Regions from separate parts of the Mus musculus genome. Here all the other regions are reported to be linked to region 1. Evidence: microRNA targets listed by miRTarBase, many of them from high-throughput screens and not tested one by one. Region 1 holds a microRNA gene; each other region holds the end of a gene's coding sequence.
Evidence for each region. The annotated mature microRNA mmu-miR-344d-3p reads GAUAUAACCACUGCCAGACUGA and lies in region 1 at 2,547-2,568, shown strand. An mRNA with a match to its seed (bases 2 to 7 or 8) in the 3' UTR can be bound and repressed. Matches are read on the target gene's strand: a 7mer-m8 pairs with bases 2 to 8, a 7mer-A1 pairs with bases 2 to 7 and ends in A, and an 8mer does both.

Region 1 (4,069 bases):
TTGCCTTTAGTGTTCCAAAAACTCTTTGATGTTACACGATTAAAATTATTGTAATAGGAAAGGCTTCACTCAGAACATACAACAGAAGTAATTTTGAGGGATATGCAGGCACATCACAATTAGTCAGCATGCAGCAAAAATTGCAAGATAATTTTCAGAGTCAGAAAGGCTCAAAATGAAAGAGAGTAAATCAGGCAAACTTGTAGGATCTAGGTAGAAGGAGCTAGAACTATGAACACTCCAAGTTTCCACTGAATAATTTTTCTGTGGGTTAATATAGTGAGAAGATTGTAAAAACAGCTTTTCCTGCCACCCACTTTCTATTTTTCTGCTTTCATAAGGAAACACATGAAGGAGGGTGCCAAGAGATGAATCAGCATCACCTAATGGATCTTTAAAGTTACTGCAGGATTTGATGTCCATGCCTAGATCTGAGATCTCTCTGCTGATTGAATCTGATTCCACTCTCTATTTGAATCCACATTCTCAATCAATCAGAAGTGTGGAAAACAACAGAAAGGTTGTCTGCAGGTGAACACTTGACAGATAACCTGCTGGCTATATACTTCAGGCCTCATCTGGTCCTAGATATAGCCAAAACCACACTGAATCATGTTAAAGAGATGGGTACTTGGGCCAATGTCAGCAACAGAGAGAGCAGAAAGGTGCTAAGACTGTGCTTGATTATTTCAGAGAGTTCCTGCTCTGATTCTTTAGATCCTTGTTTTGTATAGAATTTCAGGCCTCTGATTTTGAGTGTCACTTCTTTGTCTTGTCATGCCTTCTGCAAAGAAGATAAAAGATTCAAGCTTCAGCTTGTGACACAGGACTATGGATTTTCTGATATTTTTATATCCTTAGATCAACCACTGTGAGAACTGCAATGACAACAAACGTCCTCAACATCCTACCTTGTAGTCTAAGAAAAATCAGAGGTAACTAACAGACACAGATCCTACCATACCCAGAGTTCAAGCAGCCTTGGGACAGTGACGACAGTAGCATGCTACCATTAATGACCAATGACACTCAACAATAAAACCATTGTTTATTCTGTTATTATTCTTGTAGTTTACTAGATTACCTAGCCAGCTTTTCTTCCAGGTCAGTCTTTTGCTACTTAATGACTCAGTAGAGTCATGAGCTCTTCAGGGAAATCAATATATCATGTTCTGATCATAGCCAACTTAGTATTTTATCATGTAAAGAAAGAAATGGACACAGGAATTTTCATTGTGACCTTTTACTGAAGGATACTGTGAGTCTTAAGATTTAATGCTATTTTCTTTCTGTCTTTAGAGATCAGGTCTCTGTTATATATCCTGGATATTTCTGATACTGTATTGCTTAGATTAATGTATTCCTGACAGTAGAAATCACATTAGAGCTTTATATGTGTCAGAAAATTCCCTGACCTCTTTAAAACCACACATTAAGGAATTGAAACCCCATAGGAAGAACAACAATATCAACCAACCAAACTGCTCCAGAGCTCCCAGGTACTAAACCACCCACCAAAGAGTATACATGTAGGGACCCATGGCTCATATGTAGCAAAGGATGGTCTTGTCAGGCATCAATAGGGGAAGAATACCTTGGCCCTGAAAAGACTCAATGCCTCAGTATATGGGAATGTAAATGCAGGGAGGTGGATTTTTGATGGGTGGGTGGGAGAACACCCTCATAGAAACAGAGGGGTGGAGTATTGGAGAAGGGGTTACTGTGTGAAAAAAGGGGAATGGAGGATAACCAATAAGTTAAGAAAATAGCCTATGAAAATAAAAAAAAATAGAATAGAAAATCCACACATTAAAAGTTCCACATATACCATATTTGAGTGTCAATAACCACAGCATATTAACACAGTTTTGAAAATTGAGTTGAATGAAATATTTTTCAGATTTATGTGACACTGCAGCATTTCATACAAACTGAGTACAGGTGGAGTAGGGCATGGGCAGAATACTAAATTTAGTATTAAAATAACTCTTTGTGGAAGCATGAAAATATAATATAAACATTAAATTATCAAGGAACAGCCATGCACTGAGCATACAACAGATAATTTGGATAAGGAAACAAAGGCACATCACAATGGGTGAGCAGGCAGCAAAAAATTGTAAGATAGACAGTCAGGTGAAAAGGAAACTGAGAATCTCTGGCAAATAACTTAAAGCTAGGAAGAAGGAGCCAGAAATAGGAAGATTTCCAAAGTCACAGTGACTTTTTTTTATGTTTGTCAGTGTAGAATGAATATGTTTAAAACATTTTTTACCCTCTGCTTTTAATAGCCCTGCTTCCTTCCAGGAAGCCAGAGAGGAGCCAGTGAGGTATGAATCAGCACTGACGGAGAGCTCCAAGTATTCAGCAGGACTTGATGTCCATGTCTACATATGGGATTTCTCTCCTGATTGGATCTGATTCAATTCTCTATTTGAATACACATTCTCAATCAATCAGAAGCAAGGAGAGCAAATAAATTTGTCTGCCAGGGAAGATTTCATTAGTCTGGTTGCTGGCTATATTCCAGGACTTATCTGGTCCTGGATATAACCACTGCCAGACTGAATGGTGCTAAAGAGAAGGGAGAGTGCTTGTGTCACTGTCAGCAGACAGCGCCAGTGAAATCATCAAAGCCTGTGCTTGTTTATTTCAGAGCCTCAATGCACTGATTGCTTTGGTCGTTTTGTATTGTAGCTGTCGCTCTATGGGAGATTCGGAGAATCTCTATGGGAGATTTGGAGAATGACACACTTTTCTCAGTCATGCTGGAATATGTCTTCTGCAAAGAAGATACAAGATTCAATCTCAGCTTGTGACAGAGACTAAGAAAAATTTTCACATTTTCACAAACTTAGGTTAGACACTGTGAGAAGTGCTGTGGAAGCAAATGCCTGCTACATACCACCATGGAGTCTCTGAAAAATCTTGATGTAACTAATAGACACAGATACTACCTTACTCAGGAACTAAGCATCCTTAGGGCAGTGATTCTGGCAGCAGGTTTTTATTTATGGTATGAATATTCAACAATTGAAACATTGTTTATAGTGTTATTTTATATTTAATATACTAGAATCTTGAGCATGTATGTTCTTCCAAGCCACTTCATTACTAACTATATGTTCAAGAGAGTCATGGGTCCTTTAGGGAAATCAATATATCATCCATCTCCTGAAGATCTCCACCTTGGTATTATATACACTATAGAAATGAAATGAGCACAGAAATTTTCATGGGGAACTTGTACTAGTGACTCCTTTGAGACCTATATTTTTTTTCTGTTATTTCGAATCTGTCTTAAGAGTCCAGGTCACTGTTGTATATCCTTGACATTTCTGAAATGTATTACTTTTTTTTTCAGATAATCTTTACAGTAGTAAACGAATTACAATTGTATGTACATCAAAATAATCTCTGTCCTCTTCATGAGCACACTTTAATTTTTACTTCACTTTACATATGGTTTTGATTATCTACAGTCCATGAACAATGTTTTCAACTCTAGATTACACTTAATACTCTCTCTCTATATATATATAAGAGACAGTTGCCGGGTGGGGGAAAAAAGAGACAGTTGTTTATTTTGTTATTTTGTTATTGCTCTTGTCCTTTACTAGATTTTCTTGGCTGATATTCTTCCACATCAGTTCTTTGCTATATAACAGCTCTTTAGAATCCGGAACCCTTTACAGAAATCAATAGATCATGTCCAGATCATCTCCAGCTGGTTAAAACGCAATATAAAGGAAGAAATGGATACAGTAATTTTCATTGTGATCTTGTACTCGTAGATATCTTGAGTCCTAAGATTTCTAATTATTTTCATTCTGATTTTAGAGAGCAGGCCTCTGTTATATATTCTGGATATTCATGAACCAGTATTATTTTGAATAATATATTCCTGACAGTAGAAATCACATTAATCTCTATATGCATCAGAAAATGGCATGTCTTCTTTCAAACTACACATTATATTTTCCTACACACAATGTTTTGTTTTACATAATCACAGCATATAAATATTGTTTTCAACACTGAATTTCATTTAATATTGTTCAGATTTTTT
Region 2 (4,069 bases), not on the chromosome of region 1:
CCCCAAAGGTAATGTGTGCTAGTCAAATACCTTTGAAAAGTTATTAAAAACAAAACCCACTGATAGGAAAGCCTTGACTTGACAATGCTTGTTACAATCATCCAATGAATCACAATGCCAGAGGAATATGATGGGTTGTTTAATAATTCTATAAGCACATATAACCATTTCTATAATCTATAATCATTTTCTATAGTATTATTGATTATCCAAAATACATTGGAGTCCAGGTCAATTTCCTAGAATGAAGAAGCAAAATTCTTTTTATCCACTGTCAAATGCTTGCCATTTTCCTTCGATGGTTTCACAGGTTATCTGGTATAGGTAGGAAAGATTAGACTCTGAACTAGCTGATGAAACTCCTGCTATTTGACATGAGCAGTCTCCTCTTACCCCTGAAATAAATCATTACTCACTGTATCCAACACAGCAAAAACCTTTCCCTACCCTGTCTCATTCTTGTCTGCTTCCCCATGCCCTGTAAAAAGATGGACACCCTTTTCCAAGGACCTTAAACTAATTGAAAACTGGAGCTGTAAGAGACCCCGAAGGTCCTCTCTTTACCCCACTGCCCTGCCTGCCTCTGTCCTGAGAGTATATCCATCCAGGGCATGGTCTTACAGCTTCATGAAACTAATGTCTGTTATTCTCCCTGCTCTCTCCTTTGTCCCTACAGCGCCATGGCTACTTATTCTGCCACATGTGCCAACAATAGCCCTGCACAGGGTATCAACATGGCCAACAGCATTGCCAACCTGAGACTGAAGGCCAAGGAATATAGTTTACAGAGGAACCAGGTGCCAACAGTCAACTGAGGAAAAAAAAATAATTAAACAGGCCTAAGAAGAAATCAAAAACCATAAGACACCTATCCTGTTCTGTCATATCTTCATCCGCCGGGGAAAAAAAAATAAAAGCAAACAAACAAAGCCAGAACTAAAATATTGGGACCATGGCGGAGCAAAGCAGGAGAGGAACAAAATGAAAATTAGTTAACAAATGTTTCTTCTTGCTCTCGGATACCTACCATCACCATTTGCTTTTGTGTGTGTATTTTGTTTTCCTTCTATCCATGCTTAGCTAATTATACTCCAGGCTTCTTCTGTTAGGCTCAGCCCACCCATTCCTATAATTGTATGAGAATAAAAGAAATCTCCAGCAGCCAAAGAAATATATATATGAGAAAGATCACTTCTCGGTAACCTGCTTGACTTCAGTGCCTTACTCTGTCTCCTTCCAAGTCTCTCTAGGAGATTTTTGAAAATCCAAAGTCTTTCTGAAGAATCTGTATTATTGTGTCCATGTTGGTCATGGTAAGGTTTTTCTATCAGTGACAGGAAAAAAATAAATGTACGCATGTTCTGGTCACTGACCAGTCTGATCAATGTGGTTGGTCATGTCTGGTGTACTCTAAGCTCTAAGCTCTAGGTTATGATGTCACCGTTAACCCTACCCCTTACCCAACCCAAACAATAAAAGATCCTAAGTTAAAGATACTCATCGTTTTTAAACAATTGTTTCACTTGTTCTTTGGTAGAAGAAATCCTTTCAGTTTTAGAGATGGAAAAAAATTTTGTAGGAAGAAAAATACTGAGTTGTGAAAGGCATAGTCTATATTTCTTTGGTGCCTTAGAGGTGGTCAGATGCACACTTTTATATATACATATATATGCTGTATATATTTATATATATTATATATAAAATATTGAAAGCTTGAGTTTGCAGTTTCTCAAAAACTATAAAAGCAAACTCTCTGCCATCACCACTGCCCTTATTTACACAATAATTATATGTTAATGCGGCATCTTGTTTTCATAGTCTATATAAAATCCTCATTAAGGTCAGAGAGCAATTAGCCAGGCAGCTGTTTGAGAACAGCTTCCATTTTTATGTTAGGGCTTTAATAAAATTAGGAATTATTTGATGCTATAGAGTTGACCTTGAGTTTGGACTCTGATCTTGAGTGTAAAGTCTATATCATCTGACTTATCATGAGAAATACAGTTGGAAGGGTGAGGGAAGACAGCACTCTTTCTCTACTTCATAGGAATATGAAAGACAATATGTTGAAGTGAAGTGTTTAAAGCCTTGCTTAAATTTTAAAAATTAAATACAATCATACTCTTACATTTTAGTTGTTTTGAAATGAGGTTTAGCATCGAGGGTGGGAGGCAGAGCTGGTATTTCTTTGTTTCTCTTTGTTCCCAGCTTTGCTTTGGCAATTTTCCTGGTGAACTTGACCAAACCACGTTGCCATGCTGTGTCTAGTTTACCTGTTTATAAAATGGTTTAACAATTCCTACCTCACAGGGATGTTGTGAGGCTACATCCATTTGTTTTCTCTCTCTCTCTCTCTCTCTCTCTCTCTCTCTCTCTCTCTCCTCTTCCCTCCCTCCCTCCCTTTCCTTCCTTCCTTCCTTCCTTCCTTCCTTCCTTCCTTCCTTCCTTGTTCCTGGTTTGTCCAGCACTTTGTAGCCGTGAAAGGAGAAGGGACATTAAGAGCATACAATATTCATGGATTAACACGGTATTTGAAAGCTTTGTTTTCTAGTAAGGAAATGGTATCTGACTGTACATAAATATAACCTTCTATTTGGAAATGATAAATAGGTTTATATTTTCAAATATCTCAACAATAACATCATTTGACCAAAGAATAATTTAAGGCACAAAGTATAGAGATATTTTTTAACTTATATTTTCATCAACAGCTCGATTTTATTAACCATAGTTCTCAGTGAATGAAAATCTTCAGAGTGATTTTGGCCAAATATGTCAACATTGCAATATGCGTGTCAGTCAAAGTATTTGGCGTATAAGATTCACTTTTAGCACATACTTGTTCTTCCCTTGGCATATCTGGCTGTGTTAATGGTGATTTTTTTTCCCCAGTCTAACAGGCACCCATCTGAAAATATATTTCAAGTGATTTTGTACTTTGTTCAGTAATAAGAAGGAAGATCATCTTGTGTACTTTGATCTCATGAAGTGATTCCTTCTCAACAACTACTATTAAAGCATTTCTTTCAGAATAGTTTATGTGGTCTGGCTTAATATACATTACTTGTTTTTATCTCCACTCATGTATTTGTCCCATCGATTGCTGCGTGTTATCACATTTCAAAAAAACCAGTACATCCTTATTGTAAAAATGTTTTTTGATTTGTAAGTGAGTACAGGTCCAAGAGACTGGTAAACCGGGAATTTAGCGTTTGTAGAGAATAGCTTAAATATTTGGATTATAGGCAAGGAAGAGAAATTATAAATGAAAAGTGTTTTCTAAGGAGAGCAGAATCTTGGAAGGCAGTTGTTGGAAGTCATCTGAAACCTTCATCCTGGCATCCATTTCCAGTGGACGTCAAACAAACCTGATCCCATAAACTCAAAGGAGGAAGTGGGATGTTGTGTCTGATGCTTCGTACAAGCAGCTTCGCGGAATTTCACAGAATAACCCCTGCTAGTTAATCATAGGAATGTCTGCAGCTGGTAGACCCACAGCACAGCAGCTTTATCTGAGCACGTACCAGGAAATACACCTGAAGCACTGACGCTCAATTTTGTTCATTTGTGGTAAACTTTGTGAAAGAATATAAGTTTAACAAGTGGTTTGGAGGGTTAGATATCTAGCTTGTAAGTCAATTACCAGAGGAGAGTCTCAGTGTCAGACTCAAGGCATATAGCTACTGCGCTCCATCAATATACCCAGATGAAGGCATTAGAACTATCAATGTCCACACTCCCTTACCAAAGAAGAGGCCAATTAGTTCAGCACGTGGGAGGTTAAATTAAACCAGAAGTAATGACCTAATTACAAAAAAGGGAATGGCATATGGTAATAAAGATCTCATAAGAAATGTAATATGTAAATTATATCTTGCTTTATGATGTAAAATATACATTGTTTGTGCTAGAATAGAAATGATTTCTTTTCAATAAAATGAAAGAGTGATAATACAATGTCTTTTGTTATAATACACTGGACTCAGATGATTATTTTCGCTTTCAACTTCCCAAAAGGCAGAACTGCTTAGATTCAAGAAGACACTGAGAAACATGACAGTAAGAATGA
Region 3 (4,069 bases), not on the chromosome of region 1:
GAAACCCTTATGGAAATTGGCAGACCAACCCAAGAGATCCCTGAAGATCCATACCAGGAGTTCTCTGTGAAGGTTGGCGTGCTGGCTCAGAAGGCCCCTGCCATCAGTGAGCTATCTCAAGACATCCCTGAGGCTGACAAACCATCCCAAGAGCTCTCTGAGGAGACTGAGCTGCAGGCTCAGGAGGTCTCTGAGGAGATTGATCAGGAGTCTGAGGTGGTTGATGAGCTGCCTCCTGAGGCTATCTCCTAAGTTCAATGTCTACCCAGTGATGTAAACACTGAAAACCAGTCTCTGGCCATGACCAGCACTCACCCCTCCACTAGCACCATGTGACTTGTAGTCTTGTCGTTGGTTTCCCACTCTGCCAGCTCTTTGAGCCAGCAGCCTTTCTGTTGGCTAACACACAGAAAGAGCCCCACGCAAGGTGTGGGCTCACAGCAGCAGTATCTGAGAAAGCAGGCCTTGTGGCATGGAACTTACTTCTGCCAGCGCTTATACTTACGGAGGAGCTGTTGATGTTCAGAGACATTGTTGGCTCTTCACTTAGCCATGGAGTGGGAATCATAGATTGTTTGGAGGAAATGCCACTTAACTGCTGAAGATACCGTGCTGAGGGAACAGCAGATATAACATGGAAGGTGGCAGGGTCTCTTCTTGTTGACTGAAATATTCACAGCTTTTTAGGGTATCCTCAGTCCATATGTGCATTCAAGGAAACTCTTAACTTCACTAGCACAGGCTAGCACAGGGGAACCACCTAAAATGTCTGGAAAATAGAGTTCCAATCTCAAAAACATCTGTTGTGGCTACTCATGGTTTATACTGAGCTCATGGGTGTTTCCATGTAATTGCCAAGTGCTCCCCTGCCTAGTCCTGCTTCTGTGGACATCAGCTCAAGAGAAAAATAGATATTAGATTGCCATGCAACTTCAGAGTGACTACTTAGACTGCTCTGGGAGATTTGCATCAATCTATGAAGCCAGGCCTCCTTTTGTTGTGGGGCTGTTGGGCTTAGAAGATGCTGTAATAGAGAGAATCAAGTTCTATTTTAAACAATTAGCAGAGATCAATGTTGTACAGATATGAGCAAAGATTTAATATATATATATATATATATATATATAAACATATATATTTCTGTAGTTTGCCAGGGACAGACTGGCCAAAGATCAAACACTCCAGGGTCCCCAAGAGGTTTGTCCTTATATCATGTGTCTTTATGACCATATGTGATTACAAAGCTTTTCCCAAAGATCTAGGGATGGGAGTGGGTGTGGGTAATGTTGTCATTGGAGTCTGGGGCCGGAACATGACAAGTGCTCAATAAACACAAAATAATGAGAACGAGGGGGTGTGACTCCTTTGTGACCTTTGTGAACTCAAGAATGAATATGTAATCCCATTGTGTCCATGACTGAACCAATCACATACTGGAGATGAGCGGGGATTGGCTTTAAAGAGTCCCTGTAGTGGTCAGTCTACCATCCCAAGTGTTTTTACTGAGCAGAATGCTGGGTAGTTTCTGAGCAGCAGCCTCTGATGCCTTCCTCTCTGGTGCCTTGGGGTGTGAGTCGGGAGCTGACAGGAAGAGGCACTGCCTGGCCTCTGCTCTGTTGACATATGTACATCAGGAAAGCTCCAGACACTGGGATGACTACAAGGTTCCCTTCTCATATACACATTTATAACCTGACCACTCATGACATGCCTAAGACTACAAAGGGTTTTACTATGGGGACTTAATGTAGCTTTCATCCATTGGGCAGTAAATGAAAAGATTTATTAAGAGTTTTCTGGGAAAATACAGGGACTACTTTTGACCCCATAGAATGCAGATTGCACTCTCTAAACCAGATGTTTATGTTCCTGCTACAGGCTCCCACATTTTAGACTATTTTTATATTTTTTTTGTTTGTTTCTTGCTTAAATTTTTACTTTATGTGTATGGGCGTTTTGCCTGAATATAAGTCTATATACTGCATGTATGCCTGGTGCCCACAGGGACCAGAAAAGGGTGTTGAAGCCACAGGAAGTGGAGATATAGAGTTGTAAACTGCTATGTGAGTTCTGGAAGAGCAGCCAGTGTTCTTAACCACTAAGCTATCTCCAGCCCTTGTTTTTTTTTTTTTTTTTTTTTTTTTTTTGAGACAAGGACTCACTCACTGTGTAGCTCAGGCTGGCCCAAAACTTTCTATAGCCCAGGCTGCCCTCAAACTCCTAATTCTTCCACCTCTACCCTGAGTGTTAAGATCACAGGCATGCACCATCACACCCTGCTTCTTTTCAGAAATGATGATGGTTCTCTCATCTCATCCTCCTTTCACACAGGCTGGCTCTCCCGAGTCCTGGGATGGGTTTGAATAATGGAGAGTCTTCCAAGATAAATGATAACTGAACCAGAGGGATGGAAACCAGGATAGCTTACTGTCTGGAGGAGCCTTGGAAAGCCTAGGCAGCACCACACCATCTGCAATGAACTTGGTTTATTGTTAGAGGTGGAGGTGGCTCTGTTACAGCAGCTGGGAACTGTAGCAAGGAAGTGTGGGGAGGAGCGGAGCACAGCGGCAGGGAGGGGAGCTAGGAAGAACAGGAAGTGAGCTCCTTTTGGTTTCCCATTGGCTTGGCAAAGAAGGCAAGCCCCAGGGACTGTCAGCGGCTGGGTCTCTCAGTCCAGCAGGGTCTGGCCGGGCTGCTCACTGGCTTGCTTGGGGCGAGGTCCTGTCCTGTAGTAGAATGCTCAGCCTCTCCTCACTCTGGAGGAGTTAAGCTATAGCTCACCTTCCTCTCTTCTTTCCCCTCCTCCCTCCCTCCCATCTCCCCTCCCCCAGTTCTCTAGTCCAGCCTCCACCTCCCAGAAACTCTATCCAAGAGTTTAGGTTTAGAGAGGCAGCCAGTGTTCCCATTTCAGCTGCAGGATGGTAGAGGATTGGAATGTTAGGGAGTCACACATGGCTAAAGTGGATGTGGGTGTCAGGCAGTGGCTTATTGTTTAACCCATTACACACCAGGCCATAGCAGATGACCACATGCAGAGAAGCCAAGCAGGGGATGAGAAGAAATGAGGCTTATTGGAATGGGGTAGGTGAAGACTAAGTGATTGGGGAGCTTGGAGCAACTGGGGTTGGGGCTCTCCTTGCCCTTTGTGCTGCCCAGGTAGCCTGGTCTGGGTACAGCCCGGGGCTGTAAATGCTATGAAGAAGGGGCTGAGAGATGAGCTCCTTTTTCCTCTCCCTAGTTCTTGGTCTAAAGAGCTTCAAGTTTTGGATTGAGACATTCAGATATTGTGGGACGCAGTAAGACAATAGAGCAGCCACATGTCCCCAGGTAGCTGCTGGAACCCAGACTCTAGTGGCTAGGGCATGGCAGATGGAGGAAAGGGCGCAGCTCTGGCACCTTACTAACAGTGGCCTTCCCTGCATCATCTAAATTATCAGCAATCCTTTCTGGAATGCCAAATAAATAAATAATGAGGTTCTGGGGGAGAGACTGTTGTTAATCTTCCTCCACCGGGAGGAGTGTGCTGTTTGAAACCCATCCTCACCAAGACCAGCATTTGGCAATGCTAGGAGAGGGGGTTGCTCTAGGGGTTTCAGGCTTCAGATGACCTTTCAGAATCGTGTATCTCCTCATTGCCTTTGGTCTTGAAACCCCAGGAAGAGATGAGGGGAAGGACAGGACCTCCCACTTAGCCCCAAGTCCCAATAACATGACATGGCCCCTGCCCGGCTCGCCTTCCCTCAACCCCAGAGGACTCAGCAGTAGCCATTCTCTAAATGAACTGTAGGAGTGGATCCTTAGGGAAGGGAGCGCAGGTCATTCAGAACTCAATCTTGCAGGCTGGAAAGGACTCGTCCTGCATCACCACAGTGCTGCTGCTAGCCAGGACCAGGACGTTCAGTTGCTGCTGTTGCTCGTGTGTCTGCTGATACCACTCACGAGTCACCTCCGTATCATGAGTGGGAATCAGAGTCACCTAAGAGGAAGAAAACATGCCTGAGGTGAGAATCTGGAGGAAAGACAGATGAGGGGGAAGGAGAACTGATGGTCTCAAACAATCCCCCTCCCC
Region 4 (4,069 bases), not on the chromosome of region 1:
TTATTTTTATAGTGTTCATTTCCAGGAAGTGCTGCCCTCCCACTTTGAGAAGAATTAGGCAGTGCTCAATGATTCAGAACCACAGGCAGCTCCGATCCCAAACACGACTCCATATGTCAAACATGTCAGACCAAGGACCGTATAATGAGTATGAACCCACCCATGAAGGACCTTTCATCATCATTAATGGTTATGGACAGTGCAAGTGTCAGCAGCTGCCATACAAAGAATGTGAAGTATAATATCTACCCATCATCAAAAATCACATCAGATAAGTAACCTATTTTACATAGTAGGGGCTAAATACATATCTAATTTTTACCAATGGTGACATTAAGCCTAATTTTCCAAACCAAGTGGAGACTTGAGTTTTTGAAGTGTTAAAGTATTTTTAATTTTTTAATGAAAACATATTTTAAGTGTTAAGTGAAGCAATGCTCACATTAATTTGCACTCTTGTTGGAAAGTCTAAATGCTTACTTCAATATAAAACATTTCATGTATGTAATTATATACAACTGTATGTAAACATTTGCGCTAAGGTCTCCATATGTTTTTTGGTTTTTTTTTTTACTGAAAACAGTTCCAAAAGATGCTACTAAACAAATATAGGTAGGGACAAAAACCTGTTTGATTATTATTCTCCATCCTATGGACCACAACTGGCTTCCTACTTAAGAAGGAGACAGCAAAGTTCTCTTGTAAGATAATGTGGTATTTACTCAAATTATAATTTACTGCCAGTATAAGAAGTAGACTTACATGTGTGCTTAAGACTGGTAAATATTAAACGTTATTCTTTCAGTTTGGCTTGGCTTAATAAACATTATCTAAGTTACATCATGAAACCAGCACCTTTTATATAACTCTAATAAAACTGGGTGACTCTTTAATATATTTCAACAATAAATCCAAGCAATTATAAAAAGATCTCATTATAATAAATCAATACTAAATAACTATGCTGACTTCTTATACAACTCTAGTTTGACTTATAATGGACATGCTGATTTTTGTGGCATTTAGCCTATTATTTTAAACTAGTATTAAATTCCATTTTACTAATTAACTTACTAAATCCTCTATTATGTAAAAATTTGCATTTGGGAAAGAGAAAAACTGAGTCAACTTAACAATCCTGATATACTCCATCCAGTTTGAAAATACATCCCCTCTCATGATTAAAGATGCCTTGACAAACTGTTTAAGCCTCTTCCTTCTGCCTTTTTCTGATCTTTAAACTTCAAAGATCCAAATTAAAAATAATTGGCTACTAAAGGTGCCTAACCCTGATTCTTGTTATATTATAAAAAACACAAAAAAATTACTTTCAAAATATGATGGTAAAGCTTGCCCTTTAATAAAGATACGCATTTATATGAGTAGCTCCTTCTGAGACAGGACCAATTTCCGAGGCAAACCTTAAGGCAGAACTCCTGGCATTGCCCTGCCGTCACACAGCAGCAAGTGAAGGCAGAGTGAGTGTGAGGGGTTAAGCCCAGGGAAAGACTTTGAGTGTGGCTCTCAGGTTAGTGGAAGTAACTAGGCAGCAAACGTGATCATGTACAATTTGCACCAAATAAGTGATGCTCAGGGATCTGTATGGTGTGGAAGGAGACTCTACAGTGTAAATACGAACACTCTAATCACAGTAACAATTGATAATGATGCCACATTTTTCATGAAGAACCACAAGTGTTCAATTCTGACTTCTTTAAGGCAAATGATGGCATACTGGGGAATTAGACTCAAGTTACCAATTCACATAGAATTTTTTTTCTACAAAGATGGCTCCACATATAGGAGAAAACAGAAAATCATTACTTTGATTTCAGAAAGGAAAAGAAAAGAAGCATTTTTATGTGGAAAAATATGTAAGTCCATAACGAAAGTCACTACTCTAACACAGTATCCTGCATTCAAGACTTATTCTCTCCCCATGATTGGACTGAAAACGTTACTATAGACCTAGATTCAATCATAATTGTTTTCCTTTAGCACTGAAAAATATACCCACATTTCAAATCTCTTAACAAAAAGAAGATAATAGTCAGGCTTCAGTGAAATATGCTCTTTGTATTTCTTATGCTGGGTGATCAGTCTAGCAAAGCCTCAGAGCATCCCGGTTCGGCTGATCTTGAGTGGCAAGCATTCCCTCTCCTGATACAGCAGAAGCTCGGTTCGTCTGAGCTGAGACAGATGCTGGCTTTCCAGCACAGAGCACAGCACACTGCTTCCCCACCGAGGAGCTGCATCAGAAGCCCTATTACAAATGAGCTCCGTGGTCTAGGATTTAACAACTCATTTATCATGGTGACCACTGCCGTTTGCCAGGTGATGGACAGCTTGTTCACAATTCAGTTTTGAGCATGCAAGAAGACTCCATCGGCCCTAAACGATGAGTGGTTTTCATCATTTCAAATCACAAGCAAAATTAATTTAAACTGTGAATTAAAAAGTAAGAAATAGTAACTAGGAGCTCCAATTAATCCTAAAGAATTAGTAAAGTGGACTGTAAGTAGCAGAGCAAGCCACTTAGCATCCGAGGGAGAACAGTGCCAAGAGCCATCAAGGCAAACTACTAGGGAGGGGGGAGGGGCATATTTTTTCCTCCTACATTTTTGGTAATGGTAGTGCCAACCAGGTATTTTCCTTTCTCAGTTAAAGCACAGATTGCCATTTCTAACTGCCTACAGAAAACAAGGCTGCATTTAGTTGATATGTATTTGTATTGCAGTATCTGTGCTACCAACTGGCCAGAGTAGCAAAACCATATATGGTTCCTAGTCATAAAAGTGAGGGCTTTGGGTGGGGTTTTATCTCTTAAGCATTACCACTCAACTTTCCCTCTCCCCCATTTTAAAATCTAGTGAAAAATCAGAAAATAATTTCTCAGAAAAATGAAATGTAGCTAGGAATTTAAAATTAGTTTGCAACTACAGTTACTTATTTTTGTAGCCTACAGGGAATTCAAGCTTACCTTTCTAAAAAGAGTGGGCTGGTAAATCTTTAAATAAAAAAAAAAAAATCACACAAAACTCATATTACTGGCATCAAAAAACAAACACTATTTTTAAGCCAAAAAAAATTGTATTACCACATGTAATTTCTTAATGAGTCAAAGTTAATTTCTGTACTAATTCAATGAATGGAATTGACTAAACTTCCTAATTCCACACTAATTATTAAAACCCATCTGCTTATTATAATGCTAGTCACCAAAAGCTAAACTCCATCTTTCCAGTAAAAGCAAGCTCTATGTAGCACTAGTCTGAATTCTGAGATATCAAAGTTTTATTATTTTCTTAAGTCATACTTTCTACACATAGCTATGTAAGGGTGGAGCTAAAAATTTCCCCTCTCTCTATTATATATATATATATAAATAAATAGATAATTTTTAGGACTATTTTAACAGTTAAATTACATGATAATTTTCCTAATACAGCAATCCAGTAACAGCACTATCTCAAGTATGTTTTGGACATAATTTTCATATATTCTCAGTTAAAATGCTTGAATCAGAAAAGATGTTTTTAAAATGATAATATGGGCCATCTATAGATAAGCATTTCTTTGGCTATCCTGGGGCAAACTCATAGCGCCCGAATAAGGCCAAAACCAGAAAACGACCATTCACCCTTTCATTCTGCCATTGCAGACATTTGGAAACATCTCCAACTTCTTGAACTAATCTTTTCTTCCTTCAGTTTTAAAATCAGTATGATACATGGAATATTTGGTGAACCTGTGAACACTGAGACTGCAAACTCAAAGAACAGTCCAAACACATTTGTTCAATTACCTTTTAGAGCCATGGGGGGAGGGTTGTTGGGGGATAGGAAGAAAATACTATTATACAAGGAATTGGGTTGGTGGGACTATAGTACAGTGTACAGAAAAGTTTTGTTATTAAAATTGTGTATACTGTAAAAAAAACCCGAATGTCTCCTTTGTTTATAATTTTCTCCTGAAACCTGCAAGTGCTGACAGGAGAAACCCAAATAGGCATTTGTGACAGAAGTCAAATGAACAGCTGTCATGACCATGCTGCTTTTCAGTGTCAAAT
Region 5 (4,069 bases), not on the chromosome of region 1:
TTCTGCAGAGGTCAAGAGGCGCCGGAAGAGGGCTCTGGAGAAGCTTGACGGATCCCATCAGGAACTGGAAACCTTGAAGCAGCAAGCGGGGCAGGAACAGGAGAAGCTGCAGAGGTGAGGTTTGAATCCTGGGTTGAAGCCTCAGGCAGTGTACCCAAGACTCCTGTCACTTCCCACAAACTCTGTCCCTCTAGGAACCAGAGCTACCTCCAGCTGCTGTGTTCGCTGCAGAATAAGCTGGTCATCTCTGAGGGCAAGGCTGAGGACAAAGATGTGAAAGGGCGAGCCCTTACAGCCAAATCCAAATCTCCTTAAAGGTAAGCCCTGTCAGTTGAGTAACCACCCTCCCCTCGTCCCCAAGCAGAGAAGAACAGGGCAACTGTGGGGAGAGATCAGTGTCCACTTGACAAGATTGAAAGAGGAGCTGGGAACTTGATCTTACTCCCTGCGGGCGGACACCCTCCATTGATAGCTCTCTGGGTGATAGCTGTATGCACAAGATCCTGCAGCGGACAGAAGCCAACTCAGAATGTGATGTGCTTGAGCTGCCAAGACGGAAATCCTCGCCCTCTGAACTCTAGATCCGAGGAACTGAAAAAGTGGAAAGAACAGGATGGTTAAGATTTTCAGACCCCAGATTAGGTACAAACCATACTCAAGCACGTGTTGTCACAGAGATTCTTTATTAAGCAGGGAAGAAAAGTTAGTGTCTGCTTTCTGACACAGGCAGGAAAACAGCAGCAAATGACCTCACAGGTATAGTTTTTAAGAAGAGAAAAGTGAGGGGTTGGTTTGGGTTAAAATGGGTTAGGATGTGGGGGTGGGGGTGGGGGTTGTATATTTTGATTGGGTATCTTAATTAGATAAGCCAAAGGGAGCCTTTGATTGCTGGACTTGAATACTTTGATGGCTGGATCTTGTGCACCAGCCTCAGGAGGAGGAAGTGGCCAAATAAGGGAATAGACCTCCAGTGGCTAGCTTTAATGTTTTTTAATGTAGTTTAATGTTTTTTGTTTTTTTGTTTTTGTTTTTTTTTTTGTTTTTTTTTTTTTAGCAAGGCAGAGGGAAGGGAGCGGAGAGGGCAAAGCCTGCCAGAACCATGTATTTTTAGAGAATGTCATTTGTAATAATTGCTATTTTTGATTAGACAGGGAAAATAGTTGTAGCCTCAATGTAGTCTTTGTTAAACATTTCTTATTTTAGAATTGTGTGACATTTATTTTCCTTTGGATTGTGATTGTTCCTTTTTTCTACTTATGTCTTTAATGTACTTGTTTTGTTGAGGTCTGAGAGAAGTGGGTTCAAGTTTTCAGCTGTGGCCCTTAATGTACTCATGGTTCTGTTGGCCACTTTATGTCCACAGAAATGCCTTTGACTAGAAATACAGCATTTTAATATTAATATAACCTCTGCAGTTCCCTTGCTTACCTTTGCCTTGATTTCAACCTTGAGTTTTAGTCTTACTTAGTCCTTATGTCTGTCAGTTGTATGCATGTTTAGGGCCACTGTTTACAGATTGGGTTCAGTAATACTTTAAGGAATCTTTAAGATTTCATAGTTCTCAGTTCTGTAATGAAAAGGATTTGATGTTTGTGCCATTTTACTGTAATTTCTATGTTTTGGTATTCTTAGTGCCTTCGCTTTAATGTGTTGTTTGGTTGGTATTTCTTTCATCCTTTTCATTCCTAAGAAGGTCTTCTCTGTAAGTTCAGCTATTATTAGCCTAAAGTTATATGTGAAGGACATTGAGCCTTTTCTTAAGCACAGAATGAACCCTGGAACGCATTACCATCGATACAGCACCCTACCTTTAGCTAATACAGTTGTTCATTCTACTACTTCTATCCTTTATATTCTCACGTATTAAAATTGTAGCCATTCAATGCTATATTCATATCTGCATGTGGATTTTGAATTTCCCCTCTCTTGATTTTACATTGCATTGCTTTCCTATACAGTAACTTCATCATAAGGAAATGTTTCATAATTTCCTTTAGAAATTAGTCTTTATTACTTTTCTATTGGTGTAAAGAGACTCCATGATCAAAGCAACTTATAAAACAAAAAAGCATGTAACATAAGGCTTGGTAAGGTTTCAGAGGGTGAGTTCATGCACATTGTGTACGCCAGGGAGAACGAGAGCAAGCAGGCAGGCAGGCATGGCACTGGAGCAATAATGAGGGCTTACATCTAGCCCACATTGCAGCGGGCAGAGAGAGGAGAGACTGGGGCAACTAGCCTGGGCTTTGAAACCTCATACCCTACCCACAGTGTCACACCTCCAGAGGGCCACACCTAATCCTTCCAAAACAGTGCCACCAACTAGAGACCAAACATTCAAACATGTGAGCCATTGGGGCCCATTCCCATTCAAATCGCCAGAGCACAAAAGACTTTATAGTATGAAAAGACTTTTGTTTCATCCTCAAGGTGCGTTTCTGACTCTCATTGTTTCCTCTGAGGAATCAGCGATACACTTCACAGCTCTTTCTGTGGTATACTTTTCTGTTTTCTAGCTTTATGAAAGTAAAATAGAAAAACAGGATATATATAGTATTAAGGTATACAACATGTTTTGATGCTTGAATATGCTATGAAATGATTAAATTAAGCATAATAATGTGTTTCTTCACATACTTTCCTGCACTGAGACTATGAAAGATGCACTCAGCAGGTTTTAGAGTACAGTAAACCAACTTGTCCTGGTGCCTGCGCTATACAGTAGACTGCCAGATCTTACCCATAGGTTCCTACTCTCCCTGGCTGCTCACAATCCCTTTTTCCATTCTATCGTTTTATTATGTTGTAAATAGTTGAGAATATGCTTTTATCAACAATTCTAGAATATTCTCAGCCTTGTCTCTTTAACGTCCACACTGTTGGGTTATTCTAAAGGAGCAGTCCGATCAGTTACCTTTTTAAATATTTTTTTTTAATTTTTAAAAGTTGTATTCCTTCTACATGGAATTTTAGTTTTCTTTTTTCTTTTTTAATATTTATTTATTTATTTTATGTACATACTGTAGCTGACACACCAGAAGAAGGCATCAGATCCCATTACAGATGGCTGTGAGCCACCATGTGGTTGCTGGGAATTGAACTCAGGACTTCCAGAAGAGCAGTCAGTGCTCTTAACCTCTGAGCCGTCTCTCCAGCCCAAATTTTAGTTTTCCTAACTGTCGTAATTTTATGTTGCTATCCATGATTCAGTCATCTGCTTCTTGACTTTGGAATTTTAATTTCCATTTTAAGATATTATATTGGAGCCTAGTATAGAGTGCATTTACTTGTTTTTCTGTCTTAAGAGTGATGCTCACAGCAGTTTTGTCTTCTTTGTTGGCTAGGTTACTAGTTTGCAACTTCAGCTCATTGACACACTGCCTTTTTGCATGGTCTCATTTGTTTATGTTTGAGTAACCCTACCTTTGTTTTTGGCAGTATGTTTTGCTTCATACACAGCTGAAAGGACTGTGCTAGTGGCTCATGGTATCTTGTGTAAACCAGTGTGTAACTTGTAAAACATTTAAAGTATGCATTTTTGACATTCCTTACATCTGTATGCATCCTAGTTGGTATTTTTGTTGTTGGATGGTTTTTTCTCTTCTCATTAGTATTTCCCAGAAGGCTTTTGCTTTGTTTGTCTTTCCAAGCTCTAGCTTTAGGCTGCGGGTACAGCTGATGCTGTAAGGCTCTACATCTAATTCACAGCTCCATAAAGTAATAAGAGAAATGACAGAATACCTCAGAGTTTGGCCTTTTTCACTGCTCTTTTTTTTTTTTAACCCAATCATTATTTGTTATTTTCTTTCCTTTGGCATATATTTTTAATATTTGAAATTTTAGGCAATATTTTGTAGGTAAAAAATATATGCCTTTTCGTTACTGTATAGGGTCATATGTTTTATCAAGAGATTGTTATTTTATAAATTTTTTCTTCCAAACTTAGGTACCCAAAAGTACACTAAATTATCAATCATAGCATTAGAAATCCCTACTATCTTTGAAAATGGGAATTCTTGTTTCACTGTTAGTCCTCTACCATTTCTGAGATGAATGCATTTCATCCCTA
Region 6 (4,069 bases), not on the chromosome of region 1:
GCCCTTCGTCAGAATATACTTCCTGGTTTTAAAAAAAAATAGAAGGCTAAACGTGGATTCGAGATTTTCTATAGTAGTGCTTTTTTAATAAGTTTATCTCAAAGAAAAGAAGAAACATTGAACTAGGTTAAAAAAAAAAAAAAAAAAGGAACAGTTGCCCTAGGCCTCTGTACCCAAGAGGCAGGCAGGGATGCCCACAGTGTGCCATGTACTTTAGCAACAATTGTTCATTCACGGGTGACAAGGAGAGGGGACTGCCTGGAAAGAATACTGTGTCCTGTAGGGTTGCACTCTTCAGCAAATAGGTCAGAAAGACACTATGAGCTTGGCTGAGAGGATGTGTTATCTGCAAAGCAAGTAACAGACAAGGCTGGCCTTTCTTAGAACCTGCATCCTAGAATCCCACTGTGCTAACCAGCATGTGGTCATGAATGGACTAGTCAGATTTAATTCCCGGGCTTCTGAGCATCGTTCTCATGAACTCACTATTAAATGATCTGCTATGCATACACTTGACAGTTTATTTACTAGGGCAGGGCCTGGGGTGGGGCTGGGGGTGGGGTCAAGAGAGCTTCTTTACAGCCGACTGCGTATGTCACTAATTCCTAAAGATCTCCTTGGAGCAATGGATACACTCAATAGGACCAGGTGGGGGATGGGGAAAAGACAAAATAAAATTGGTCTCTATTCACCTGTAGTCCTCAGGGGAAATTAACTCAAATATATACTTGAAGTACCACCCGTTCAAATCAACCCCCACCATCATTATCAAACACACTTAATTCATCCACAGAAAAATTGGTTGCTTAAAATTCTATATTTCCCTCTGCTCCACTTTCCAGTTTACAAGGGCAGGTAAAATAAGAGGATTGATTTATTCTTGTTCCTTAAAAACTGAACTTTGATTTTACTCTATCAGTCCAAATACATCCAAGAAGAGCAACCCTCTCTCTAGTCAACCTTCTGGATGTCAAAGAAGAAGATCCTAGGTGCAACACCATTCATTTTGAAGTAGTAAGTCACAGGAGCAGCCTATCCTGTCATTAACAAAATGACAGAGGGCGGGGAGGGACTAGGGGAGCTCTCCCTCCAGATGGGGGAATGTGTTTGGTAGAAGAAAGCTTATTCCTGTGTTAAACTCAAAAGTGTGAAACAGCCAACATCTGCTATGTGGGCACTTCAAGAAATGTCTTTGCCAAATATGAGACAGGCTCACTTTCCACTGTGGTTTCAGGAACTTTCAGGAAAAAAAAAAAAAAAGAAACAAAAAACTATCAATAACAACTAAAATAAGACAGGGCAGTTCCTCTAAGTTGGCCTCTAGGAGGCTTTTGCTGTGCTTGCTTTTTCTTCCTGGTTTCTTAGCTTGGAAACCAGAAAGGAGTTCAGCTTGCACTCCAGGTGGGAAAGTACGGGGAGGGGTGGAGGGAGGGAAACCTGTTTAAGTTGAAGTTTGTCACAGTAGGCAGAACAGTTGCTTTGCAGCCCAGGCCCATCTCAGGGTGCAGTGCTTCACTGCTACACTGTAAAGGGTTAAAAATCCTCCCACCCACCCCTGAATATATATATATTTATATATGTATATTAAAAAAAATCCCCTGTCCATCTCTCAGTACACAAAAGGACCTCATCACACTGCAAAAATAGCAGTACCCACTTTGGTCAATTAAAACAAACAAACAAATAAACAAACAAACAAAAAAAGCATACATTATTTCTTTTTTAAATCTGTGTACTTACCTATAATAACCAATACAGCTAAAAGCACTACCTACATAGGCAAAACTTGGTATTGCATAATTCGTATAAATTTGAAACCCCTCCCCCCCAAATATTAATTGGAAGATGAAAAACATGAAAGGTTAATAGAAAAAACACCAAAAATACTGAAAATATTGCTGGTCGATTACAATTTTTAAGCGGCAACTATACACAGCCATGATATGCTTTATAAATGTGAGATAAAGGTGTAACTGTCTAAAAAATCCATGATGTCACACATTTTTCTTCGTCTGGAGTACAAAATATTTTGTCATAAAAATGGTAAAGATTTAAAACGATAATAAATGCAGCAAAACAAGTGTAGTGATGTCACTTTTGTGGTTTTTTTTTGTCTTTTGTTTTTTTTTTTTAGATTTCAAGGCAAGGCACGTAATGTGGACATTATATCTTCGTGCAAATTAGGATTACTGGAAAGAGTACTTTTAATTAAAATTTTAAGAGACACAGAGGCAGCATGTGTCTGCCCATGCACACTATAGATCTGTCAATACGAGAAATGTGTTGAACAAGGCTAATGTCCGAAAGCACCATGCATGTTCCCAGCACCCTGATGGCACTTCTCTGAAGAGCGAGCGGGTTTTCCTAGCCTACCTGGCATTCCCAGCCTGTACACGGGGAGCTTTACCCTTGTGACATGGATTTCCCTGCCTCTTTGTCTCTACGATGCAGATTGTATAGAACCGTTTGTACACCCTATGGGTTCTTGATGCAACCAGTAATTTTAAATAAATAATCTGACCTCTGAGGAGGCTGCAGCTAAGCCAACCTAAGTGCTGTGTTTTCAATATTTTTTTTATTTTTTATTTTTTTTCTGTTCAAGCACATGATTTGTCTTGATTTAATGCCTTATTTTAAATGCCCTCAAAAACTGAGGGGAAAATAAATTCGCTCAAAATTATTTTAAATTCTTTTTAATCCCCTCAATTTAGAGTCCAAGGGCTGAAGGACTTATAATCATGATTCCCCTTTAGATATAAATTTATAAATTGCACTTGCCTCTGTTAAGTGTTTCTTTTGTGGGGAAAACATTATATTACTTTTTACTGTTGCATGCAGAGGTAACCCTTTACCCACATAGAGGCATTTCTTCCATAGAGCCTTTGAGTTCAAACTGTTTTTTTTTTCCCTATTTTTCTTTTTTCTCTTTTTTTTTTTTTTTCCTTTTTAAGATTTCAAACTGGGTTACACACTGGAAAAGGCTGGGTTAAGGGCCAAAATTTAATAAATCTGTACGGATAACTAAAGGCTACAGAGATTCTTTTATATATATATATATATATATATATAATTTTAACTTTTAGAAATCAGAGTGCTTATAAAATGGCTGGCTCATGGCTCTGTCCCCAGCACCTCTGACGCCGCCTCCTAGCCTTCGTTGTTGAGATAACCAGGAATAGTGACTCCATGCGTAAACAACAAGAATACTAACCAAGAAAACTAGCTTATCATGCAAATATTAAGGCATCTAGAAAGTCAGTTAAAATATATTGTCATAGAGACAGAACATCTATTTCCCAGCGGACTTCATGTAACAAAGGCTACGGTGCAGGGGCTGCAGTCTAGCATCAGTGAGATGTCATTGACCCTTTCCTGTCACTATAGTCTCAACCTTAAGGGAATTAGTGACTGTAAGTGCTGCAATGCTGGTCTACCGTCTTCTTTCTTCAGTTTCTCTCCTTTCTCCCTGTTGTCCAGTCTTCCTCTTTTCCTTTGTTGGGTGTTTTTCCCCTAATTTTCTTATACTATGGTTGTGGTTCTTTCCCCTCAGTTGCTTGTCTCCGCTTGAAGGAAAGGCTCTCCAATTATGTTCAAACCATAATTTTGGACATTTGCCGGTAAGATGGGTGTCCTATTTGACACTTGAAAAGGAACCAAGCTAGCCCAGGTACCAGGACTGTTGAGAGGAGACGGGAAGAAAAAAAGAAAGAAAGAAAAAATAAGACAATGTTAAAATCTCCAGCCATATCATAAATATAAATTCAAAATGCATTAAATTACAACTATTATATTTTTAACTTTTTAAACCAAAATTTTAATAAAATTTAATAATTAATAGCATGCATTGACTTTGCTATATTATATATATTATGCTTATATACATATATATGTACATACATGTGATAACTTCTAGATTATACACATCATACAGGTGTAATCTATATGATCTCTTGCTTCCATGAAAAGACCTAACTACTATGCAGAAAAACACAAAATGAACTATATTCACTATATATAATTGCTGAACTCTAGTTAATTAAGGAGACTCTTTTTTAAATATCTGGCCCAT
Region 7 (4,069 bases), not on the chromosome of region 1:
CAGATGCTTGCAGCCAACCTTTGGACTGAGCACAGGGTCCCCAATGGAGGAGCTAGAGAAAGGACCCAAGGAGCTGAAGGGGTTTGCAGCCCCATAGGAGGAACAACAATAGGAATCAACCAGTACCCCCAGAGCTCCCAGTGACTAAACCACCAACCAAAGAAAACACATGGTGGGACTCATGGCTTCAGCTGCATAATATGTAGCAGAGGACAGTCTTATCTGGCATCAATGGGAGAAGAGGCTCTTGGTCCTGTGACGGCTCAATGCCCCAGTGTAGGGGAATTTGAGGGCAGGGAGGAGGGAGTGGGTGGGTTGGTGAACAGGGGGAGGGAGGATGGGATAGGGAGTTTTGGAGGGGAATTGAGGAAAGGGCATAACATTTGAAGTAAATTAAGAAAATATCTAATAAAAAATTAAAAAAAAAGAACCAGTATTCAACCAGGCAAGATGGTGTGTGGCTATAGCCCTAGCTACAAGGGAGGCTGGGCCAGGATCATTGATTGAGTTCAAAACCAGCCTCAGCAACAAAGTAAGATTCCATTACAAATCCCATTCCACCCACCCACCCCCAAAAGCAAGACTTTCTTTTGATGAACTCACTGTTGCCTGAAATGATTTTGCTGGCTTGAAAGTACACAACTTCTTTATTAGTCTCATAAAATACATGGCTTCTTATACATGCACCATATGTGTGTGGGCTCTTGGCTCCCCTGGACATAGAGTTATAGCAGTTGTGATCTGCCAGATGTGGGTGCTGAGAACCAAAACTAATCAATATGTGCTCCTAACTGCTGAGCCATCACTCTAGTCCCCATTTTATTTATGTGGCCATGTCACAACACATGTGTAGATTAGATGACAACTTTCTGGAGTCGGTTCCCTCCTACCATGTGGCTTCTGGGAATTGAACTCAGGACACTAGCCCATGGAATCATCTTACCAGCCCAGGAAAACACTCTTTTTTTTTTGGTCCTGGTGCTGAGAATCAAATCCAAGGCTTTGTGCATGCTAAGTAAGCGCTCTAGAATGGAGCTACAGCCCCAGCACAACAATTTTAAATGGTATTTCTCTGTAGGCTCAGTAGTGACAGGTACAGGTATGGTTGGGTGGGGCCTACAAAAATGTCAAGTGAGTCCAAGTGATATTAAATCTCCCCTCTTCAGTTCTCAGTCAGATCACAATGAGTTTTCACACAACATATATTTATTCATAAAATTGCAATAAATTATAATAAAAAAGATGACACAAAATACAGAACCCCACTAGCAGCTTTGCGTAGTGACCGAGACATTTTTTTTTTTTGTGAAATATAACAAAGAACTACAGATTAAGAATCAGAAAGGGAAACTAATGTAGTATCAGCCAATAGACTGGAATCATTTCTTCCCGAAGATGCTAGGTGCAGTCTTTCACTACCAGTTAAACCTGAAATCCTTAATTCAGAGCAACTATGAAATAGTACCTTGGAGGAATTAGGAATGAAGAGGTTGAGGGGCAGGATAGGCAGGATAGGGAAGTAGGTTTCTTCCATCGGATCTGTTTTGTATCCCTTTCCTAGAGATTGTCTAAAACCCTCAACCCTATAGACATCCCAGGCTGAGCTGGACAAAAGGCCGAGGCAGTGAAGCAACTTGGTGCTTTGGCCTGATGAAGGAAGGGCACTACGTGCATGCTCCACAGAGCCCCCACTAACCATAATCTTGCTCATCTAAAGACCCAAGCTTGGCGAGGTATTATAAAATGGGCACAGGAGAGGCATTCCCCTGTGGACCACCTTGCTCCAGCTCCTACCATCTGCTTCTTCAGTGATTACTTTCTGGCCTAATAGATATGACAAAATTCTTCTGCTCTCCGTCTTCCACTAATCAACTGTTGACCCAATCAGATCTTCAGTGAGCTGGCACCAATACTTTGATTCCGATTTCCCAACTCCCAATTATTTAAGGGCTTAACTACTGCAGGATACATACCTTTTGTTCTCCCAAGAACTCAATTTTGAAGAGATGAGGGAGCTGGAAAACCATTTGATGGTGGATGTTTTCCTGGCCCTCTCCTTGGATGGTACAAGATACTACTGATGGAATCAGTGCCCAAGATTGTACACACAGCCTATATGAGCGCCTTACATCAGATGTTAATAGGCAAGAATGACACGACTTGGGTTGGTTTGGTGAATGAAACCAAGCAAGTCAATTTCACCAGGCAGTTTTGCAGCCAGAAGCTGGCAGCTGGTTTGTCAGTCAACAAAGTAATTTTTAAAAAGTTTGTCTGTCCCACAAAGCTTGAATAAAATGAAAACCTTAGAGTCATTTCAAGTGGAAGAGGTAATGTGTGTGGCTGGTCCCACGGACCAGTCTCTCTTACACAGCACTTGATATAGTGTCAAGGAGTCAAGGGCAGTCTTTTTAAGTCTTTGCTTGAAGGAGGCGGATGTGGAGCTCAGAGTGAGCCCTGTTGAGAGAGGCCAGTAACTTTCCCCGACACTTTAGGAGATAGGAGAATGGGTTCTGAGGGTTACCCTCAATGCTTGGTTTGGAGGGCGAGGAAAGCTCCTGGGACCTCACTTGAGGTGCACAGACTTCTCTTTTGACTGTGATGCAAACATGACTCTGGAAGTGGGTTTCTAGTGGGGGAGATGGGGACCAACATGCAGGATTGCTCCGCATGTCAAGTGTGGATAGTAGCCGGGCACGGGGACTGGGAAGCAGGGATGTTTTCATTCTGATATACTCACAGTGCTTTCCTCGCTGTTGTGATGTTTCTCACATCAGTGGGACGCCATCTCTATAGTCCATAAAATTATGTAACTAACCATGGTCTGAGACAAGGGAATCGGGCTCCACCAAGTGTGGTTCCCCACGAAGGCCAACATTACAGTGACATACAGATATCATTGTAGTAGAACTGCACAAACGCTTGTAACAATCACATGGAGACAGTGAACTTCACTGTTCAGGACACCCACAGAGTCACTAGCCTCATCCAGGCTTCCTTCAAAGTGAGAGCATGGAGGAAGTGTGCAAAGTAGTGACATGAGGAGAGGGTGGGTCCAAAGTGCATCATACAAAGAACTGTAGACAAGTCTGAGCTATAGCAAGTAGTACTTGTAGGCTTAGAACAGGAAGGCCTCTCAATCCAGGCCTAGGGTATTAAAGATAATCATGAGGACTGGGAAGCAGGGCAGAAAACATACCCCTAGGTAAAGGTGTGTAAATACAGACCTCTTTGCTTTACAAAGAGTAAACACAAAAACACCGAAATATGGTAACTTTGGCTTGGCAATATATGTCTAAAAGGATTTTGCTGTGTAGGATATGGTAAGGAAGGATTAGGAAAACTCTTCCCTTTGTACTACTAACAGAATGTAAGATCCTACAGTAGACCCTTTTTGTGTGATAACTTTTCAGATCATTTTGAAGTAGTCGGAGCCCAAGGTCTTCCTCCTCTAGAATCTCGGATAGGAAAAGACTTAGTCTTCCTCGTTCCCAAGCAGGAAGACCAAGAGGAACTGGATGGCATGCTGGCGGTCATTTGGAGTCTGTCTTGTCATGAGGTTTGGTGGAGGTCTTAGGAGAAGGCTACTGAACAGGGTAGCTAGAGGGTGGAAGAAAGAAAAGGGGAAGCCCACTGTCAGACATTACCTAAGCAAAACCTCAAGGCTCGGGGTGCAGGGAACAAGAACAGCAGGAGGGAAGGGACTGCCATGTTCCCAAAAATCAAATATGGTACACATTATGCACAATGCATCCAGATTCTGTCCAACAAGCACTCTGCACAGACTCTCTCATGAAGCCCCCTTACCAATCATGTTGGTGTTGATATTGTTGTAGTCAGAGAATTTTAAGAGTTCACGAAGGAATGCCATCAAGTAGCGGAAAACATTTCTATGGCACCTTGGAAGCTGGGAAATGACCTGTTTTTTAGAGACGAGTGTGTAAGAAGGTTAAATGGCTCATAGGGAATGAGACTCCAAAGCTGCCATAAGAACAATTTGTAACCCAACTGTTAGAAGCCCCATTTGTCTGTCACTACCCTCTATTATCATAAGCAGTATTTTACGTGCCAG

Region 2: miRTarBase lists Prrx1 as a target of mmu-miR-344d-3p. Seed matches in the 3' UTR shown: 7mer-A1 at 1,654-1,660, 7mer-A1 at 1,683-1,689 and 7mer-A1 at 1,692-1,698.
Region 3: miRTarBase lists Map1a as a target of mmu-miR-344d-3p. Seed matches in the 3' UTR shown: 7mer-A1 at 1,122-1,128.
Region 4: the mRNA of Lrrtm2 is a reported target of mmu-miR-344d-3p. Seed matches in the 3' UTR shown: 7mer-A1 at 509-515, 7mer-A1 at 859-865, 7mer-m8 at 1,299-1,305 and 7mer-A1 at 3,368-3,374.
Region 5: miRTarBase lists Zwint as a target of mmu-miR-344d-3p. The part of its 3' UTR that is shown has no 7-base or 8-base seed match.
Region 6: miRTarBase lists Nfib as a target of mmu-miR-344d-3p. Seed matches in the 3' UTR shown: 7mer-A1 at 3,064-3,070.
Region 7: the mRNA of Ocrl is a reported target of mmu-miR-344d-3p. Seed matches in the 3' UTR shown: 7mer-m8 at 1,311-1,317.

The regions. Positions count from the first base shown.
Region 1 is chr7:61,683,778-61,687,846 of GRCm38, reverse strand. Mir344d-2 (microRNA 344d-2) reads left to right here and starts at 2,496; the gene lies at 2,496-2,575.
Region 2 is chr1:163,245,004-163,249,072 of GRCm38, reverse strand. It overlaps Prrx1 (paired related homeobox 1), which reads left to right. Exons shown (of 4, transcript NM_011127.2): 4 at 677-3,954. The coding sequence ends at 815. Among named protein-coding and RNA genes, the nearest start is that of Gm20471, 33 kb to the left of the region's middle.
Region 3 is chr2:121,307,839-121,311,907 of GRCm38, reverse strand. It overlaps Map1a (microtubule-associated protein 1 A), which reads right to left. Exons shown (of 7, transcript NM_032393.2): 7 at 1,076-3,976. The coding sequence ends at 3,821. Ppip5k1 (diphosphoinositol pentakisphosphate kinase 1) reads left to right here. Exons shown (of 30, transcript NM_178795.4): 30 at 1-1,347. The coding sequence ends at 252. Among named protein-coding and RNA genes, the nearest start is that of Map1a, 20 kb to the right of the region's middle.
Region 4 is chr18:35,208,873-35,212,941 of GRCm38, reverse strand. It overlaps Lrrtm2 (leucine rich repeat transmembrane neuronal 2), which reads left to right. Exons shown (of 2, transcript NM_178005.4): 2 at 1-3,939. The coding sequence ends at 242. All of the region lies in intron 7 of Ctnna1 (catenin (cadherin associated protein), alpha 1), which reads right to left. Among named protein-coding and RNA genes, the nearest start is that of Lrrtm2, 4.1 kb to the left of the region's middle.
Region 5 is chr10:72,657,072-72,661,140 of GRCm38, forward strand. Zwint (ZW10 interactor) reads left to right here. Exons shown (of 8, transcript NM_001293683.1): 6 at 1-114; 7 at 195-317. The coding sequence ends at 315. Among named protein-coding and RNA genes, the nearest start is that of Zwint, 4.3 kb to the left of the region's middle.
Region 6 is chr4:82,293,136-82,297,204 of GRCm38, forward strand. It overlaps Nfib (nuclear factor I/B), which reads right to left. Exons shown (of 12, transcript NM_001113209.2): 12 at 1-3,676. The coding sequence ends at 3,547. Among named protein-coding and RNA genes, the nearest start is that of Nfib, 210 kb to the right of the region's middle.
Region 7 is chrX:47,962,988-47,967,056 of GRCm38, reverse strand. Ocrl (OCRL, inositol polyphosphate-5-phosphatase) reads right to left here. Exons shown (of 24, transcript NM_177215.3): 23 at 3,805-3,916; 24 at 1,189-3,597. The coding sequence ends at 3,473. Among named protein-coding and RNA genes, the nearest start is that of Ocrl, 53 kb to the right of the region's middle.